3 linked regions of the Arabidopsis thaliana genome follow. The protein of the gene in region 1 interacts with the protein of each later gene in a pairwise test. Each region holds a gene or a part of one and is shown in the gene's direction. Other genes may lie near its edges.

Region 1 (6,999 bases):
CTTTTATTTTTTTTCGCTTAACTCAGATTTTTTAATATTTATAAATCAATGTATTTATTTGATTTTTATACGGAGAGGATTAATGTTGAGATACAGATATAGTGCGGCGCGGTGTACATGTGCTAGCAAAATTACTAGTTTACTAAGATTTGACTTCTTTTGATTGGCTTAGTGGAAATTCTCCCAAGCCACCATAGATGTTTTGACACGTTGATAGAATGTACTGTCAATGATTTTCAAGAGTGGGAAATTCACAGCTTTGTACTTTGGAGTTTGGAGGAACAACTGGAATGTTTGAGGTCGAATTTGGGAATTGAAATTTTTAACCCCTGGATGAGTTTATATTTGATTGATCTCTCTATTATGGGGTGTTGAATGTTATTTACAAAAAAAAAATAGTCATTGTTTTATGGACGAATAAATTATCTACTTGTCGTTTTTTTACCGAATAACGCATAAATTAGATTCAATACGGATAATTCCTAAAATAAAATAAAAACGGTTAGTTCTTCTAACATACGTTACTATAACAAACGTACTTGACGAGTTGGCATAAAAATGTATTTCTACTGTTTTAAAAGTAACGTACGATTCGTCTTGCATACTGTGACGAAATATGTAAATTCTTTTGTCGCTTAGTGATGATGTGAATTATTTTGATTCATAAAGTAGAAACTCGATACATACCTATTAACTAAACATGTATTATGTTGTGATTCATTTTTGCCTAACAAATAAAATTTATTAGCAAGAACCATTAAAATTTCATACTAATTTTGGATACTAAAATGTTAGATTGATATATAAGAAAAGTATATACTCAAAAAGATTTAACAATTTACCAATATTTAGTATTGGAATCAGTGTAGTGTTTGTTAGTACATGCTTTTCTACATTTAGAAACAGTTAAATTATAATTGCAAAAGGAAGCAATATTGAGGTATTAATAAGGTTTTACACTTTTACTTCAGCTAGCTTTGAATTTTAGAAGTTTTATGGACTATTAAATTATCTACTTGTCGATCTTTCATAAAAACTGTTGGCTCTTGCGAGAGATATGTGACCTTCCAATTGATCGCGAAGTGATAAGATGTATTCGATTTTTTCAGCTTATGCCATTTTTACAACTTTTCGGAAAAATGTTTCAAAATATCCATTATGAATTTGACATCCAAGTTATAAATTAGATAAAATTTACTTGAGATAACATATGGACATATAGATTTTACTTATTTATTAGAGTTCATTAACGAAAAATTATTGAGTTAAATATAGACATCTTTAAACTCGTTAATTTTAAAAAGAAATAATAAACAATATATATATATATATAAATATTTTATTTTCAAATTTTATTTATTTAAAGGGTTTTAATTTTTATTAACAGTTATAATATTTATGATTGTTTCCGGTTACTTTGATGCTATTTTCTCGTAATTCCCTTTTGTACATATATATTTAGAACCAAAAATTCAATCATTGAGAAGCATACTCTCTGTCAAGTGTAATTGATTCCTCCTCTTCATTTTTTAATTCTTCATTTCTTAAGTTTTATTAATTAATTGACTCACCTCTTCATCTTGTTTATTTCCAAGTAATTTTCCTAATGATGTCAATAAACAAAAATAAAAAGATTAAAATCACGCAATATCAGTAAAAAAGGAGAGAGGGTTAAATCGGTGGTGGACTTTGCAGCCCTAAACCATTGTTTCGCCTCGGAAAAGCCCATTTACACAATTGGGAAATAAATAAAAACAGAGTAAAGAAAGGAACGTCTTTTACTCTTTACGGTATCGCTCGCTTCTCTTCTTTCTCCTCAACACGAAGACCCCTCTTGCCTCTTTATTAGAGAGACCCCTTCCTTCTTCTTCTTCACCTTCACCTTCTTCCTCGATTCAGATCGTCTCCTCCTCTGTTTTATACTCACCCTATTCCTTCGAATCTCTCTCCATTTTTATCCCCAGATTCTCCCTTCTTCAACCTCGTCGACTCTTCTTCATCACTCTATTTCTTCCGATTGAGACTTCTTTCACTCTGATTTTCTTCGACCCTTTACGGATATATTCGGTCTTGAGTCTCCATCGGATTTGGATTTGAATGTAGGTATCTCGCACGAGAGTTGTTGTTTAACGTAAATCTGGGTTCTTTTTTTTGGTGGGTCGTTGTTTTTCTTCTACATGCAGTTTTGGGGATAGTACGTGCGATTCATCGATCAATCCTCGTTTAGATAGACATCAAGGATTTAAAGGAGTCGTTAAGAGAGCAATGGAAGGAGACATGGTGGCTAAAGTGAAGAGAGAAACGGTGGTGGCATGCATGACTTGTCCTCTCTGTGACAAACTCCTCCGTGACGCCACTACCATTTCAGAGTGTCTTCACACGTGTTAGTTCCTCTTTCCCCTTCTCGATTTACGTTTCGATTCGATTTTACCCGGTTTCTAATTTTCGCAATTTCTCGTCTTTATCGTCTTCTTTGATTGGTTCTCTGTTGTGTTTTTTTTTTCTTCCTCTTGCTGATTTGGATTGAATATCTGCATGATTCTTGTTGTTAGTCTCGTATGCCACTTATGATCTCCTCTATGTCTCAGTCGATTTGATGAAACTCGAGTCAATGAATAGTTTTGTTTGGTTTTCTCAACTAAAGTAATAGTTGTTGTTGAGCAGAATTTGTAATCTTTGTTTACATTTAGACTGCAAGAATCCTCCTTTATTCGTCTCTTTAGGTAAAATTTGTGAGTGTCTTCTTCTTCGTCAAAGATGGTTTGGTCAAACTCATGACGTCCAAATTTGGTTTTGGCTAATCATGTTGTTAGTTAGATTCAGTTGCTTTGTTATATCCAACTTGTAAGTTTTGTGTTAGGAAGTTCGAGTAACAAGTGCTTTAATCTACTCTCATCGGTTTAATGTAAGTTAATATTTGGATTAAGTAGCATTTATCAGCCTCTTTCTTCTACATGATATTATACAATTAAGACAGTTTAGATCATTTTCTGTTTGGAATGGCTTAATTTATTTCTTTTAACATACAATCCAGATTAGTAGTGAGTTTTCTGCATGTTGAAGTATTTGCTGATCTCTGTAATTTATTCAAATTTAGTTTATATTCCTTTTGGAGTCTAAATCAATCTACCATTCCAAGCTTTACACAACCAATTCTTTGTTACCGTTTACGGAGAAATATACCTTGTTACTCTGTAATTATTTTACTCATTCCATCTGATTTTAAAAAGGTAAATGTTAACAGTTCGGTTCCGTTGTACAACTGACCAACTGCTTATCTCAATTTAATAAAATTTTCAGAACGCCCTGCAGAATCTCTTTTTGAGTTACTGCAGTGCCAAAATTAGGTGTTAAATGCTTCACGGTTTTGTTTCTGGGGATGAATGCAGTATCCCCATCAAATTTGTGATTCCATCTCTTTTGTTTAGGTTGGTAGCTATGGATTTTCTTGATTTTAAAACCAAACAGTATGATGCTCATTAACCACTTGTCTACAAGCTTCTGCCATGACAACTAATATAACTTGATGCAGTAGAGACCATACCAATTATCGGCCTTGCTATAATGGATTTGGTGGAAGGAGTCCGATAATCTAACTTGCATCTAATAAATTCAAACTTGGCAGCGAGCCAACTTGCATTGAACCTCAAACATTATGCTATTCATTCTTTACTTAAACTTTTGATCTGAGAAATTGTTTGTTTTTATGTAAGTTGGTCGCCTTTATTACAAAAGATTTTGTTCTTACTTGATAGTTACTATCTATTGAAATGAAACAAGTTCTTATATCACTTTTATGCAGTTTGTAGGAAATGCATTTATGAGAAAATCACAGAGGATGAGATAGAGAGCTGTCCAGTATGCGATATTGACCTCGGGGGTACCCCACTGGAGAAACTAAGGTAAGTTCTTCTTCTTCTTTATTCCTTACACAATTTTCTCCTCGGTCTTGGTTTAGCAGTGATTCCTTGTATAGACTGTTAGAAGCCTTTTGGCTCTTACTGTTGATGAAACGAAGTTTTCTTACATAATGCTGAAAAGTTGTACATGATTATGCTGAGGTGTGCCACATATGGAAGGTTCTTCCGTAATTTTTGTGGCATAGTGTGAAGTTAATCAAGAAAAGTCATTTCGATTCAGAAGCAGTTATGACCTGAATATGTTGGCTAGTTTAATACTTTCGCTGACACCAACAATTTTTTGTTAGAACCTGAAACAAATCTCTTTAGTACTACACTCTCTCTTACTAGTTGGTCACCAGTAAGAGCTTTGTTGGTGGCGAACTTATTCATTTTCTAAAGAACCACTCTTATGTATTTATTTTAGGCCTGACCACATTTTGCAAGACTTGAGAGCCAAATTATTTCCTCTAAAACGTAAAAAGGAGAGAGCGCCTGAAGTTGTGTCCTCCATCTCATTACCTGCAAAGAGGAAGGAGAGGTCTATCTCGTCTTTGGTGGTAAGCACACCCAGGGTTTCAGCACAAGCTGGTACAACAGGAAAAAGAACAAAAGCTGCTACGAGAAAAGATGTAAGAGGTAGTGGTTCATTCACTAAGAGAACAGTGAAGAAGGAAGAAGAATTTGGAGATGATCATGTAGAGAGCGCAAGCTCGCCTGAAACACTTAAAAAGTTTACTCAGAATAAAAGACAGGTAAAGAAGGTGATCATTGCAGTTCTCTCTTTACCTTTATGTTTTACTTTTTCTCTTTACCAAGTCCAAACACAACGTTATGACTGATTATGGTCTTTATATAGTTCCCCATACATTTATTTATTTATTAATTCTTTTTTTGCAGTCTTCATATGCAAATCCTAACCAGTCCCTCTCTAATCGAAGAAACAAGGATGTTGATGAACCATGGGATTCCAAATTACATCTTTGGAAACCTCTAAATTTTCTTGTGGATGTGGCAAACGGAACAAAGGACCCAAAATCTGAGCTTGGAAACGCATCCCACAATGATGTTCAGGGGAGTAAAACCAAAACAAAGGATCATAAAAGAAAGTGTAAACTCGAGGAAGAGATCAGCAATAACGGTGATCCTACAACATCAGAAACTGCTACACTTAAACGAACGCGTCGGACTCGTCGCAAAAGGTCATCTACTTTTGGTGATTCTAGAATTCCACTGTTACCAGGTGCAGCAAGCCTAAAACAGGAGAGGAGAAACGGTCATGTTTGGTTCTCACTTGTAGCGTCAAGTAATCAGTGAGATTCCTGTTCTGTATCTGAGACTCTGAGTACTTCTGATATTCAATATTTTCTGTGTCTTTTCATTTCTATCTCTTAGTGACACGGCTTTACTGGTTTCAGGGAAGGAGAAGCATCATTGCCTCAGATTCCAGCAAACTACTTGAGAATAAGGTAAGTTGTTCTTTTTGCTTTGCTCTGTTTCTTGTCACTAAGTTTTTATATGTCAACTGTGAAGTCTGTGATCAAATATTACTTATTATTGCATTGATGGCTTTGAATTCGATTTCGCAGTTGTTTTACCCGAGTTTCCATGTCATGTTTGTTTTCTGTGGTATACGTTTCTTGATAAAGCCTTCTTCTTTTTTGGCCCATCACACCTAATCCTTGACTGGGAGGTGTCTATTTTCTTGTTTGGGAGAATTATATTGTGCCAGAGTTGATCCCCTGTCTCATTATATGGTAGGGATGGAAATATTCCAGTTTCTTTTATCCAAAAGTACCTCATGAGGAAGCTTGATCTCAAGAGTGAAGATGAGGTAAGCAATCTTATCTTATGCAGTGGCTACTTTTCTGTTTTATATGAGGTATCCACTCGGTCTAATATGGAATCACATAGACCGTAGTTCTATACATTGGTTCAAGTCTTGTGCTTATCAATATGACTGTAAGGTCCCCATAAATGTTTAAACTAAAGTTAACTCTCCCTTTTATTTCCGACTTGTGTACCGGGTGATATCTTATGATCTGGGACTTTTTCGACCCACCGGTGTTGAACCTTAACTACTCTATGTTTTTTTTTTGTAAACAGGTAGAGATAACATGTATGGGAGAACCAGTGATCCCAACGTTGCAGCTTCACAGCTTAGTAGACCTATGGTTGGAAACAACTTCTAAGCATCAAAGAGTCGCTGCGTCAATAGGTTCATCTGCAAAGGAATTTGTAATGGTGCTAGTTTATTCTCGGAAGCTCCCTGAATGCAACAACTAAAGAGCTATTCATTGAATCTTTTCTAGACCGAGAAGAAAGAAAAGTGCAGGAGCAGTGGAATGTCTTGTGTAGAAAGAAACTTAGCAATTTATATTTATTTAATTGTAATCTTAAAATTTGAAACATTGGTGTGAGACAGACACTTTGTTTGTTTATCCAAGAAGATTCAAAAATGGCTTTTTAAAGGAGATTGTGTCCTTTTTGGATATTTGAATGTATGATTAGGATAATGTTGTCATTTCTATAAATATTTGTTTCCTTGTTTGGACTAAATGGAGAAGTACACGGAATCCTTGTGAATCGAATGACTTAGCCATTATTGAGAAGTCAAAAGAAAAATAACCAAAAAAAAACTTGTGAAGTGTACCTTTAATACAAGAATTAAAGAGAGATGTATAAAAGTTTTCTAACAATTTTGTTCACCAAAAAAAAAAGTTTTCTAACAATTTTTAATACAAAATGCAAAATTAAAGATGAATTTTCTTATTTCTTTTTTTAAAACATAATTTTGAAGAAATTTGGTTGTCTTTTTGCATTTGTTTCTAGATATTTCTAAACTGTTGGGAAATAAAAAAATTTGCACACAAAACATAGTTAAATTCACGTGGTATTTATAGAGATTTACTTCAACCAAATTTGGATTTTGGGTCATTGTTTTATGGACGGATAAACTATCCATTAGTCAAATTTCCACAAAAATAATATGTGAATTAGATTCGACAAGGCTAATTCCCCCACAACATACGATACTAGAACAAACGTACTTGACTACTTGACGTAACAATGTTTCTCTTACTGTCTTGAAAATAACATA
Region 2 (4,567 bases), on another chromosome or scaffold:
TTTAATATAATTTACTTAGAAAACAAGGACAAGTTGGGATCCATAAAAGAATAATTAAAGAAAAAGTATGGGCTCCAAATGATAATCTGGTGCACGCGATAACACAAACACCGGTTTAGTGGGTCCTTTGTGGCAGAGAAGCACACGTCGAGTAAGGAAGGATCACCCTCTTTCTATGTCTTTGATCGGCTCAATCCCCACCGTACATTCTAATCTCTACGATTTGGCTTTGCTTCGAACAAGTTTATTCCTTAAGGAAGTTAACGGACCTTAGCTCAGTTTGATCACAAATAAAAAAAATTCAGGTCGAGCTCAATCAACCAAACCGTATAATACTAACTCACACTTGAAATCTGTTTTTGATTATTAGACTACATACAAGACATTAGAGACTTGTAAAACAATATATTGGTTTTATGTCGATTAGTAGGTAATCTATCTTTCTAACCCTAGCTAATTAAAACAACAAAACCTTAGCTTGCCAAAGCTCATCCATTAATTGAAAAAAGATCTACTAAGTAAGTATAGTTTTGTATATACTAATTTGTGGGACAAACAAAATTTCAAAATGGCTAATGAGGACAAGATTTATACCCCACCATTAAAACAATGTGACTAGTTATACATCGAGTTGATATGATGGCTAGCTTAGAGGAATAATTTATAGTATACTACATTGAAATAAAAGTAAATTCCATTAAGAGAGAAAAGGAAAAAAAAAAAGTGAAGAAAAAAAAGAAATATTCTTGCTTCGAAGGCCCGTAGTTGAAGCCGTTGGCTGAGTGGGCTACTGCTCTTTACCTTCGTTTTTACGTTTCTCCTCTCTCTTTTTTCTATTGATAACTTTCTTTTATCGAAAGAGAATAACAAATTCATTAGCAAAACGCTTACTTGAGTACCTCTAAATTTACCAAAGTAAATTAAGTTTGACCACTTTTATCGGATACACGTCGAAAAACCTATAAGATTTACCTCTCTTATTATTATTTTTCTGTTGGATCACAATTAGTATAATACTTTAAAATTTATACTAGTAAAGAATATTGGGATATATATTCTCATAGTATATTTATTATTAGAAGATCATTTTATTATTCTCATTTTCTCAATTTTCTTCAATATAAGTTATATAACCGTGGACCATAGTTTCTTTCTTTGTCAACAATTATGTAATGTGGTTCTAATAAATGAAAAATAACTCAATAGTGTGTATGCTCAGCAATGGAATACCTAATTCAAGTCATTAAAGAGAGAGAAAAAAAAATCACGACGATTGGTAAATGTTAATGGACCAATGGAAAACCAGAATTAAATTACCGGTTAAGTTTGGTTCGGAATTGACGGTTTAGACGGGACAGCTGAGTTGTTAACGAGCTGTCACCGGATTCTACGGGTCACCCGTTTTGCTTCCTTCATCAGATAATAAAAAGATCCAACGGTTACAATAATCAGATTCTCTTCCCTTTATTCCTACTTTTTATTTTTGATTTTTTCTTTAAAACCCTCACTGTATCTTTTTATCGGTTGTTGGTGGCAGTTAGGTAATTTCACCTAATAACCTTTTTTTTTTTGCCTGTTATCTCTTTTTAATATACGTTTCAATATATTTTAATTATTATTAAAAAGTTCCCGTTATACGAATAAAATAGCATTTAATATATTTTTGTTTCTGGAAAATGTGTAATTATCTTTATATAAATGTTCATATCAGAGCACTATTTCTGGGTTTCAAAAAGAAAGCTCAGTTAGCTATTTTCTCTACCACAGAAGAATCTAGACCCAGAGAGAGAGAGAGAGAGAGAGAGAGAGATCAGTAACGAGAGAGTCAAAGAGAGGAGATTTCAGTGAAGATGAAGGAGATGCAGGCAATAGAGACGTCGCAGCCGACGACGGTGGCTCCGGCGGTGCATAGCCGACAATTGGGAGCTCAGTTGTCGGGAAGTATGAGTTTCAGCAGCCAAATGTCGAAGGAAGATGAGGAGATGTCTAGAACTGCGTTATCTGCGTTTAGAGCGAAAGAAGAAGAGATCGAGAAGAAGAAGATGGAGATTAGGGAAAGGGTTCAAGCTCAGCTTGGTCGTGTCGAAGAAGAGACTAAGCGTCTTGCTTTGATCCGTGAGGTATGTATCTATATTGGTTATTTCATATATAAAAAAAAGATTGTTTTTTTTTTGGAGAATTGTGCTTCAATTTTGGTTTTTGTTATGGAAATTTTTTGGATTGGGATGTGAAATTGAACATTTGGGGTTTTTATATTGTATAGAATGTGGATTTAATTCATGTTTAAGGGGAAATTGTAGGACCCAACTGTTGGAAATTTCAAGATCTGACAATTGCATTGAACAAATTCTTTTATAATTTTCCTTTGGTTTTTGTGTGGTTTATGCCATTTGGGGAGAAAATTTTGGGGCTTTTGTGTTTGTTTTAGGATTTTAAATGATCAATAGCAAGTAAACCTGGATTTGCTAAAAATAAGCTATTTGGATTAAGTTTTTTGTGAAAAGAACCATTTGCTTCTTCTGGGTGATGTTAAAGTTTATGAATCTGGTCTTAGTCTCTGGTTTTAGTACTTTTTCCCCTCAATTTATGGGCAGAACAGTGAAAGTTTCTACATTTATAGCACTACTTGATAGAGATTAGCTCTGTGGATCAAAGCTCTTTCCTTTCTATGAAAAGAACAATTTGCTTTTCCTGGGTGATGTTATGTTGATGACTAAGAAGCTCAGTGGTTAAACTGCATTTCAGGAACTTGAAGGATTAGCTGATCCCATGAGGAAAGAAGTTGCTATGGTTAGGAAGAAGATTGATTCTGTCAACAAAGAATTAAAGCCATTGGGCCATACAGTTCAGAAAAAGGTAAGGCTAAAACATAATCAAATCCATTGACCTGTGTTTAAAATATGTTTTGTTGAGGATTCAGATGCTAAGCTGGTTTATTTACGCAACTTGCAGGAACGAGAGTACAAAGAAGCTCTTGAAGCATTCAACGAAAAGAACAGGGAGAAGGTGCAGCTAATCACCAGGCTAATGGAGGTTAGTCAACAAATGCTCAAGTCTCTTTTCGTTGAGTTTGAATGATTGAGTTAACTGGTCTAGTTATTGTACTGCTTCTCTCTGATTTTTGGTTGTGTTGTCCTTTATTTTTTCACATTACCCTTGCTTGTGTGGATAAACACATTAAGCTAATTATTGTCTTGTAGCTCTGTTCTGAGAGACATGCATCAAACACCGATAGTTTTAGGCATATTTGTGATCTTGCGGATTCAGTGTTTAGTAGATTTTGATGTTGAGTTCTTGGACCGGTCTGTGTGTTTGCTTAAAGCTATGTGTGAGTCATCTCCATAGTTAGCGGAATCAGTTCCTTCAAACTCTATCTAAGTGTCTTCTTTTTGTATGAGTTACATCGATCGTTCTTGCCATTTTCTAACATAATTTGTCTGTAAACTGAACATATTCATCAAACCAGTCCACTCTGATCTGTGTCGAATATATTCATTTTGTTATGTGTTCTTAACTTGAATTGCGTTCTTGACTTAACGGTTTCCGATTCGAATGATTCGCAGTTGGTGGGAGAAAGCGAAAAGATGAGAATGAAGAAGCTGGAAGAGCTAAGCAAGAACATAGATTCTATACACTGACTTTGAATCCAAGACAGTACAAGAACTTCTTGGGCCAGAGATCATTCTCTGAGTGTTTTAACTCTACGTTTAGGTTTGGTGGTGGTGAATGTAATTTATATTTTATAATCGTCGTGTGTTATATTACTACTACAATTATTATCTTTGTTAGGGGTTCTTGGAGAATTTATAAGTGTAATGTGGTTTTTTTAGGAAGTAACTTCAAAAAATACTCATCAAGACAGGTTTGTAACTAAACGCTTCTTCTTCTTTTCTCTGAACTATCTTTCTCTCTTTATTGTCCTTTCAATTGATTTTTTACTTATCTCTCTTTAAAACTATTGTTCTGACATTTGTAGCATAATGTACAAAATGTTAGGTATTAAGAAAAGTGGAAATTTGTTTATATCATGTGCGCTGGGAAAGCTATAAAGATTAATAGAACATTGTGTAACTTGTGCGATCGATCGGTAGGTTAAGTTAAAAAAGATGGCATCACGAGATCAGATGTGATCTATATGTCGACCTTTTCCGAATTTGGTTTTATTCCAAAATGACCGTTAGAGAAAAATGATTGTTTCATGAGGAAGGAAATTCATAAAAATAATATCCAGAAGGCAAACCTTTATTTGTTTATCATTAAATATGTCCTCAACATTTTGACATGTAACCATTTATCTGATATTAATATCAAATATAAATCATATGATTAATGAGAAAATTATATAAACCATACTATAATTATAAACCAGACGTTTTGTTCATTATTTGATGGAGGGTGCAATAATAAGACATTAATGATCAAATAATCAATGATGATGTGGCTATTGCAATGGGAGACATAGATATCATCGTAAAAGAAACAAAAAAAATTCCTTTATTGTTTTGTGCAGCCTTTATTTTCATTTGATTAGCATCTCCTGATATAATGATTATTCATGTGGCATAAA
Region 3 (6,917 bases), on another chromosome or scaffold:
GTCCCTTGAAAATAGAGCTGCAGAGACGAGGTATCTTTTCGTCGTTGCCGTCATTAGCTTATTCTTAAAAACAGTGCTTATGAGGAAACCTTTTTAATTGAATTGTGGGACTTAAGCCATTTAGAGTCATGTGTCTGTATTACATAGCAAGGTAGCCGTCATGTATTTGCTTATAATTTGAATTTATACCCGTATAAACATAAGCCGAATGTCGATTTCATTTTTTCAGGATCCTCATAAACAAAGTATTTTTGTTGACTTATCTTGCAGGGGCGTCCATCCTCCTGCTGGGGATTATTGTAGTCATGCAGACAGAGATCATACAACTTTAGTGGATGCTTTTAGAATTATGCAAATAGAGGAAGAGGGTCGACTTGAGCAAGGGGATGTTCTCGACGAGGTATGCATGTTTACATTACATGCATTGAAGAGGATTGTCTTTTACCCATGATATCCAATCCAATGGTCTTGGCCATGGTGGACAATGGTAGGATCATTAATTCTACTGTCGCTGCTTCATTTGTTGTGAACAGGTTGGGGAAGAGGGGGAAGATGGAGAGGAAGAGGAGGAGGAGGATCGTCAGGAAGAGAGTAGTGATGGGAGACAGCAGAATGTGGAAGAAGAGGCTGTTGTGGTGGACGCTGACTCTACGGATGGTGCTGTGCTAGTTAATGGTAACGAGTCTGAAGAACAGTGGGGTAAGATTAGTGAAGGAACCGCATCAGCCTTATAGCATTTGTGGTTATCAATTGATTATAAGATGTCGCTGCACCAAAATATCCTTTTGCCATCTGCACATATATCATAGGATTTGCGTTTGCATCTGTCCATCAATGTTTCCTCATCTGTCTGCCTCCCATCTTCGTCTTACTGATCATCTTACTTTTGATGTTGACTGTCTTTTAAATAGTGCTTCTCTATGCCATTAACTTTTTTATCAATCCGTGGACTGATTAAATATTTGTTTGTTGTACAGTTCTAACACCGCCACAAGAGTAGGGTTGGTGAAGAGTGAAGACATACACAGATAGATATTTTCTTGGCTTTGAAACTTGATACATTCAGCAGAGAAATGAGGCAGCACAGAGAGAGATTAGTTTCCATTGTTAAAAAACTGATCTATTGATAGCTTCCGCTTTGTGCTTTTAATACAGATACATATTAAAAAAAAAGGGGGTTTTGGGACTCTTATGTAGCTTTAACTTATGAGAGATTTCACCTGTAGAATATCTGTTTTGAACTGAGATTTCACCCATATAATATGTTTTGACTTTCGATTCAATAGGTTATGTAGTTGATATCTTTTTTTTTTTTGCAAAACTCAATAGCAGTAGCAAAAAACTTAATTGGAAATAATCAAAGTGAAGGGATAAGTTGGGAAAGAGCCAGAGGATAACGCATGGTGCATTATTATTAGTATTGTGGAGGAGACGCATCTCGAAACATCTCTCAAAGCAAACAAGGACCCAAAACAAAGTTCCTTGCATTCTTCCACTGTCCGTAATCACCATCACCATATCATTATTCTTCTACCCATTTTGTCTTGGAAATGATTTTAAATTTTCTTGTTGCTTCTTACTGCAAACTGTGTATAGGTTCAACTACTCCATTGAGTTACACACTTGCATGCACCTATGGAAGTTAATTTTCCGGTTTTGATTGATATTCAAGTTGTTGACCAATGGAGTTATATACCCTTGATTTATATAGAAACCACATGTTTTATTTATATTAACATGGTCACTTTTGTCAGGATTAATAGACAACAATAGTTGAGAGAAAAAGTGATAAGGTAGAGCTAATTTGTATTAAACTTATCAATTAGTATTGTTGGTTAAAAAAAAGTTAATAAAGTAGTCAAGTTGGATAATTCCCAAAAACTGGGAAAAAAGAACTCAAGCGTCAAATGTTGTAGGTGCATCATCATCAGTCTACAAGTAGTAAAAAACCCATTCGATTTGATAAGAAGACCCAACGGAAAGAGTCTTCCCGTCTACAAAGTAAACCCAATCAATCTTAATAATCTTTAAGAGGTTTTTTCTTATTATAATTATCTATCTCTCTATCTATCTATCTGCGGATCTCTCATGAAGAAACACTGAGGAGATTCTCTCGCTCTGATCTCCTGGTATCGTCGTCTCTCTCCGTAGAGATATACTAGTTTGTCCCATATCCGATTGATTGCTCTATTCAATTTATTCCTCTTCTAGGTTTTCGGTTTGGCCCTCCGATTTAGAGGGATTGATGGCCCCTGATGGCGTTGAAGACTCCGACTATGAGAGTGATCCCGACGAGTTGAACCGCTCCTTGGCTACACGGAGGAGAGAAGCCAGCGATGATGATGAGGATGATGAAGAAGCGGACGACCATGATAAGCTGCGAGCAGCAATCCAGATTCATTCCGATGAACACAGTGGTGTTGTTGTTGTCGACTCTGATGATAATGAAGGATTGCACATAGAAGATAGTTATGGTGATGATGACGACGAAGAGGAAGATGGTGATTATGGACAAGTTGATGACCATGTCGAATACATTGCGGATAATAATGACAAGACAATTGTCGCCGGCAATGGGACCGATGACTCTGCCGCCACTGATCTTGTGGATGGAGAGGAACAAAAGAAGAAGGAACCTTTTGCAGTGCCTACTGCTGGAGCTTTCTATATGCATGATGACAGATTTCAGGAATTGGATGCCGCCTCTAATAGGTAAACTCTTTTTGATTCTATGAGGAGGTAGTGTTTTGTCCAAACTATGCAAATGTATCTATCTACTATTGAGGTAGAGTACATTGATAGGTGAAATTAGCAAACGACTTTCCGTCATTCAATCTCATGATGTACTTCAGAGTTCAGATAGATTGGAACAACTGCTTTGGTTTTATGTTTTAACTTTGATTGTGAATCTTTATGTATGAATCTACCCGAGATGCCATCACACTGCTATTTTTCCATTTAACATTCTGTTTAGTTACATGGTAATGCCAACCGATATAGGTTTTCGTTTTTTATTTCTGTAGGCGAATGCGTGGTGGTAGGAGGCTCTGGCAATCCAGAGATGAAAGAAAGTGGGGACATGACAAATTCGAGGAAATGAATACACAGAAACAGCAATATGATGTACTTTTCTCTGATCATCTCTCTTTCTCTTTCTCTCCTTTTCATAAATATATTTGTATTCATCGACTTGTTTCCTCTTGCTGTGTTTATACATTTGCCACCTCTTTTTTCTTTTTCCTTTTTTTTTTCCTTTTGAAAGCTGATTAATTAAACTTGTGAACATAGAGGAGGACTTCGAGAGGCCGAGGCAGAGGTCGTGGTCAGGGTAGGGGTCAGGACCGTGGACAGTCTCGGGGGAACAATTCTAAAGAATTTACTGGCAATGGACACCAAAATCAGTTTCCGAAGGCTGTCACGAGAGGGAGGGGGGCCAGAAGATATGAGGTTGCATTGAGAAATGGGAATCAAGCACCTTCTGTGCAAACCAAACAGTGAGTCCTTAATTTTGTTTCCTCTCTAGTCAACACATGAAGGCTCTAGGTCTCTAATTGTTGTGTCTTTTTACGGAATCTTTAGGTCCCAAAATTCGTCTGTGGAAGTGTCACACGTTGATTTAGGGCGTCCACCAACAGAAACAGCTACCTTAGAGACTGAAGCCATCCAAGCCAAAAAGAATGTATTTGCTTCAAGTTTAAATTCAGCTTCTCCTCCATTTTATCCTTCAAGATCCAACAATAACTTGGCACAAAAGGATGTACAAGCTGGCATGGGTAGGCTGCACATTAATGAAAACCCTAATCCGACTGGAAAGAAGTTTGGGAATACAAAATCCAGCTCCTTGTGGGGACGCACTGCTCAGACTACAAGTCATGGTAGAGGTGTACCTCCTCATGGGCAAGTGCTTTACCAGCAATCTCCTAATCAAGGTGACAAAGTTTCTTCGCCGATGCAAATCCGTGGAATGCCTAAAGGCACTGACCAGAGCTGTACTCAACTTCCTGGTCAGGTTTTTAATCAACATTCGGCTGTTATCAGTTTGCTGCCTTCTTCTCCTCCAAAAACCGGATCATCAGAAAATCCGTATCTTTCTGGTGAAATAGAGTCAGCCGTAGAAACAGGTGCTTTGGTTGCCAAGGGAAAAGGGTCTCTCCAACCTAGTGGAAGGGGATCTTTTATGTATGGAGGGACACAGTTTATGGGCCCTGCCGGGATGGCAGCTGGTCACGGCAATCCAAATTTCCCTGCTTTTCTACCTGGTAAGTTGTTCTTGAATGTCATTGTTCATCCTACATTGTAATGGTTGAAAGACATCTTTCAGAATCAATCTATGCATGCTAGTGAAATTGAGAGCTATTGATGCTGAGCCGCTTGGCCTGGTTGCCCATGTCTAGGGCCGCTTGAGAACGGCACCTTTTTGTACAGGTGCTAATATGCACGCCTGACTAGTTTAAACTTGTTTGTTTTCATTTTCATGTTCAGTTATGCAATTCGGTGGTCAGCATGGTGGGGTTCCAACTTTTGGAATGGCTCTTCCAGGTTATTTCCAACCAGAACATGGTACCGGAAATCCTGAGATGACATGGTATGCAGTTCCACAGCTATGTTTTAAAAGTTATATATTTGGTGCATTCTTAGTTGACTTGCTGCATGCTTTTGTAATTTGAGAGGATGTTTAATCTTGTAACTAGTCTTTTACTAGCCCAAACAGAACCTGAATTATTGCTTTCACTCGTCTGCTGTTTGTTTTTTGTTTGATTTCCCTATTTCTCTATCTATAGTAGGTCCTTATTACTGCTATTATTTTCTTAAATTATTGACAGGCTGCCAATTTTGGCTGGCCCTGGAGCATTAGGGGGTTCATATTGTCCACCTTATACTGTCCTTGATGGTTCTTACCAAGCAGACAAACCAGGGTTACCTTCCTCTGCCGGATCGTCCAGGTTTAGAAATAATTTTCTCAGTATTGTTAATCAACATGTCATTTCCATATGCATATGTGTAGACTCTTTGCTTTTTACCTTAGAGGAAGAGTAGTATGGGAATGCAGCTTTAAGCCCTTAACTAAGTAACGTATGTGAGATTTTAGATTTGTGGTTCCTCTTATTCTAGACCCACTGCAAAATGCTTGTTACCTGTTAGATTTACATTTCTTAAGTGCTTAGATTAGTAGTTTCTCGACTATGTACACCCAGAAACATGTAGTTTTCATTAAACAGACTCACTTTCTTGGTTGGGCACTCATGTAACCATGTCAATCATCTCTGATTATGAGCGTCTAGTAAAGCATATAATTTGAGCTCAAGTACCCAATTACCTTATATTTTTGATTTTTTGTTGCAGCCAAGAGAACAGTTCCAATAATCCTAATGATGAAGAGCCCATGGAGAGACCTGGTAAGTAATAACTCTTGCCAATTAAATGGGGTTGTTATAATGGATTCAGAAGATTTTGTTGTGTTTTGGCGAATAAGAAATTTGAATGATTACATGGAGAGACTGATTCGTATGGGGGTTTATTGATGTAGAGGTTACGAACAATGGGAATTCTCAACGGTCAAATAGCAACCCAAACAAGCAGCCTCGTAGGTGAGTTTTGAAGCAATCTAGTTTATTTATCGGTCAGTGTTAGTGTGACGTGAAACCACCTTGAAATCAAAGTACCACAGGAGTAGTTGGATACAGATATTTGTGGAAATGAAATGTTAATATTGGTCCAGGATGAAATGAAACACTAACGAGCACATGTTGACGAGGGATGTGCAGATACTCGGAGATGAGCTTTAGCAAGTGAGTAAAGAAGAGTGGAAAGGAAGAAGGTCATCTAATTTGACTAAGTGGAGTGAAAGGAGGAGGGTGAGAGAGAAGAGCTCCTTAGGAGCAGCAGGCCCTTGGTGCTTCTCCAACTGCTTTATGAAGCCGTTTGGGCTGCTATTATTGTTACCTATTTTTATTAGGTACGCAATTTCTCTCAAGATACCAATTGAAGAGAGGTTTTAACCACATTATAATTTGAACTTGTGTTTGCTGTTTTGTTTTCAGGAGGTTGTTGTGCAATTGAAAAGAATTTTTGTTTTGTTTTCGTTGTTATGAGAGCTTGAGCTTGAGCCGTGGGCGTCCTTCATCTGTAATTTATTCTTTTGTCCGTTTGGGTTCAAATTGATATTTTGTAATGTTGATATGTGTTATTCTGTTTTCGTTTGTCAACTTCTTTATCAAAAGTTGTGTGCCCTATTCGTACGCCTGCGAAGTCCCCCCAAGAATTGCCCATGTTGAGTTTTGATGGTAGTTAGTTGTCTATGTTTTATATTTTACGCAAGGGGATAGTGGTGGTGCTCAGTCAAATTTACCCGATTCGTGAGAAATGAGTCATTGAGGAATTGTTACCATATATATAAAGACATGCCTCCGCTCTGGTTATTTAGTTATGCGACAAAAACAAAACAGACCGCATAGAATAGATGCAACAAACCAAGTGTATAGAAACTTTATTCCTTGGCGCAGCAAAAAAAAAAAAAGGGATAGAGTCTCCGTTGATTCAGGTAGCTCAGCGTCCTCTGAGATGAAACGATTGTTGTTGTTTGTTTGTTGATTTTAGTTTTTAGTTTAGTGGAAGATGATCGGTAATAGCGTCTACATCTCACCGTCACCGTCACCGTCCGACCACTCTCTCTCGCCCAACCCTAATCTCTGCATCTCGGCGGTTGGTTTCTACTGTCTTCCTTTCTCTCTCTCTATTTACTACAAATTTTGATTTCAATTTGGGTTTCCGATTTCGATTTCAATTTTGAATTTGATGGTCTTCAGATGGAAGAGCAGCTGGTTGTTGATGATGATGATGATGACCTTGCTCCTCCTCCAATCCCTGATCTCGATATTGACCTTGAAGATGATGATGACGCCTGTTGTCACGGCTTG

The links. The genes of interacting proteins can lie anywhere in the genome.
Region 2: the proteins of DRIP2 (region 1) and AT3G09980 interact in a two-hybrid assay, tested with the Arabidopsis thaliana proteins (one large-scale study listed by BioGRID).
Region 3: the proteins of DRIP2 (region 1) and AT1G80000 interact in a two-hybrid assay, tested with the Arabidopsis thaliana proteins (one large-scale study listed by BioGRID).

The regions. Positions count from the first base shown.
Region 1 is NC_003071.7:13,024,179-13,031,177, forward strand, and holds DRIP2 (DREB2A-interacting protein 2), read left to right. Parts: upstream 1-1,732; 5' UTR 1,733-2,265; coding exon 2,266-2,383; intron 2,384-3,802; coding exon 3,803-3,902; intron 3,903-4,326; coding exon 4,327-4,654; intron 4,655-4,799; coding exon 4,800-5,212; intron 5,213-5,317; coding exon 5,318-5,368; coding exon of another isoform or gene 5,369-5,372; exon of another isoform or gene 5,373-5,660; coding exon 5,661-5,733; intron 5,734-6,005; coding exon 6,006-6,185; 3' UTR 6,186-6,483; downstream 6,484-6,999. UniProt on the Arabidopsis thaliana protein: E3 ubiquitin-protein ligase that acts as a negative regulator of the response to water stress. Mediates ubiquitination and subsequent proteasomal degradation of the drought-induced transcriptional activator DREB2A. Functionally redundant with DRIP1.
Region 2 is NC_003074.8:3,067,508-3,072,074, forward strand, and holds AT3G09980 (ankyrin repeat 30A-like protein (DUF662)), read left to right. Parts: upstream 1-1,582; 5' UTR 1,583-1,850; coding exon 1,851-2,120; intron 2,121-2,745; coding exon 2,746-2,856; intron 2,857-2,952; coding exon 2,953-3,033; intron 3,034-3,563; coding exon 3,564-3,638; 3' UTR 3,639-4,024; downstream 4,025-4,567.
Region 3 is NC_003070.9:30,090,950-30,097,866, forward strand, and holds AT1G80000 (CASC3/Barentsz eIF4AIII binding protein), read left to right. Parts: upstream 1-1,857; 5' UTR 1,858-2,245; coding exon 2,246-2,712; intron 2,713-3,023; coding exon 3,024-3,123; intron 3,124-3,288; coding exon 3,289-3,494; intron 3,495-3,579; coding exon 3,580-4,259; intron 4,260-4,482; coding exon 4,483-4,585; intron 4,586-4,823; coding exon 4,824-4,943; intron 4,944-5,343; coding exon 5,344-5,396; intron 5,397-5,527; coding exon 5,528-5,588; intron 5,589-5,719; coding exon of another isoform or gene 5,720-5,729; exon of another isoform or gene 5,730-5,765; coding exon 5,766-5,793; 3' UTR 5,794-5,956; intron 5,957-6,041; 3' UTR 6,042-6,374; downstream 6,375-6,917. Other genes in the region: AT1G79990 (coatomer subunit beta-2), read left to right, coding at 1-30, 271-400, 534-699, 978-1,000; FRS8 (FAR1-related sequence 8), read left to right, coding at 6,616-6,702, 6,807-6,917. UniProt on the Arabidopsis thaliana protein: Core component of the splicing-dependent multiprotein exon junction complex (EJC) deposited at splice junctions on mRNAs.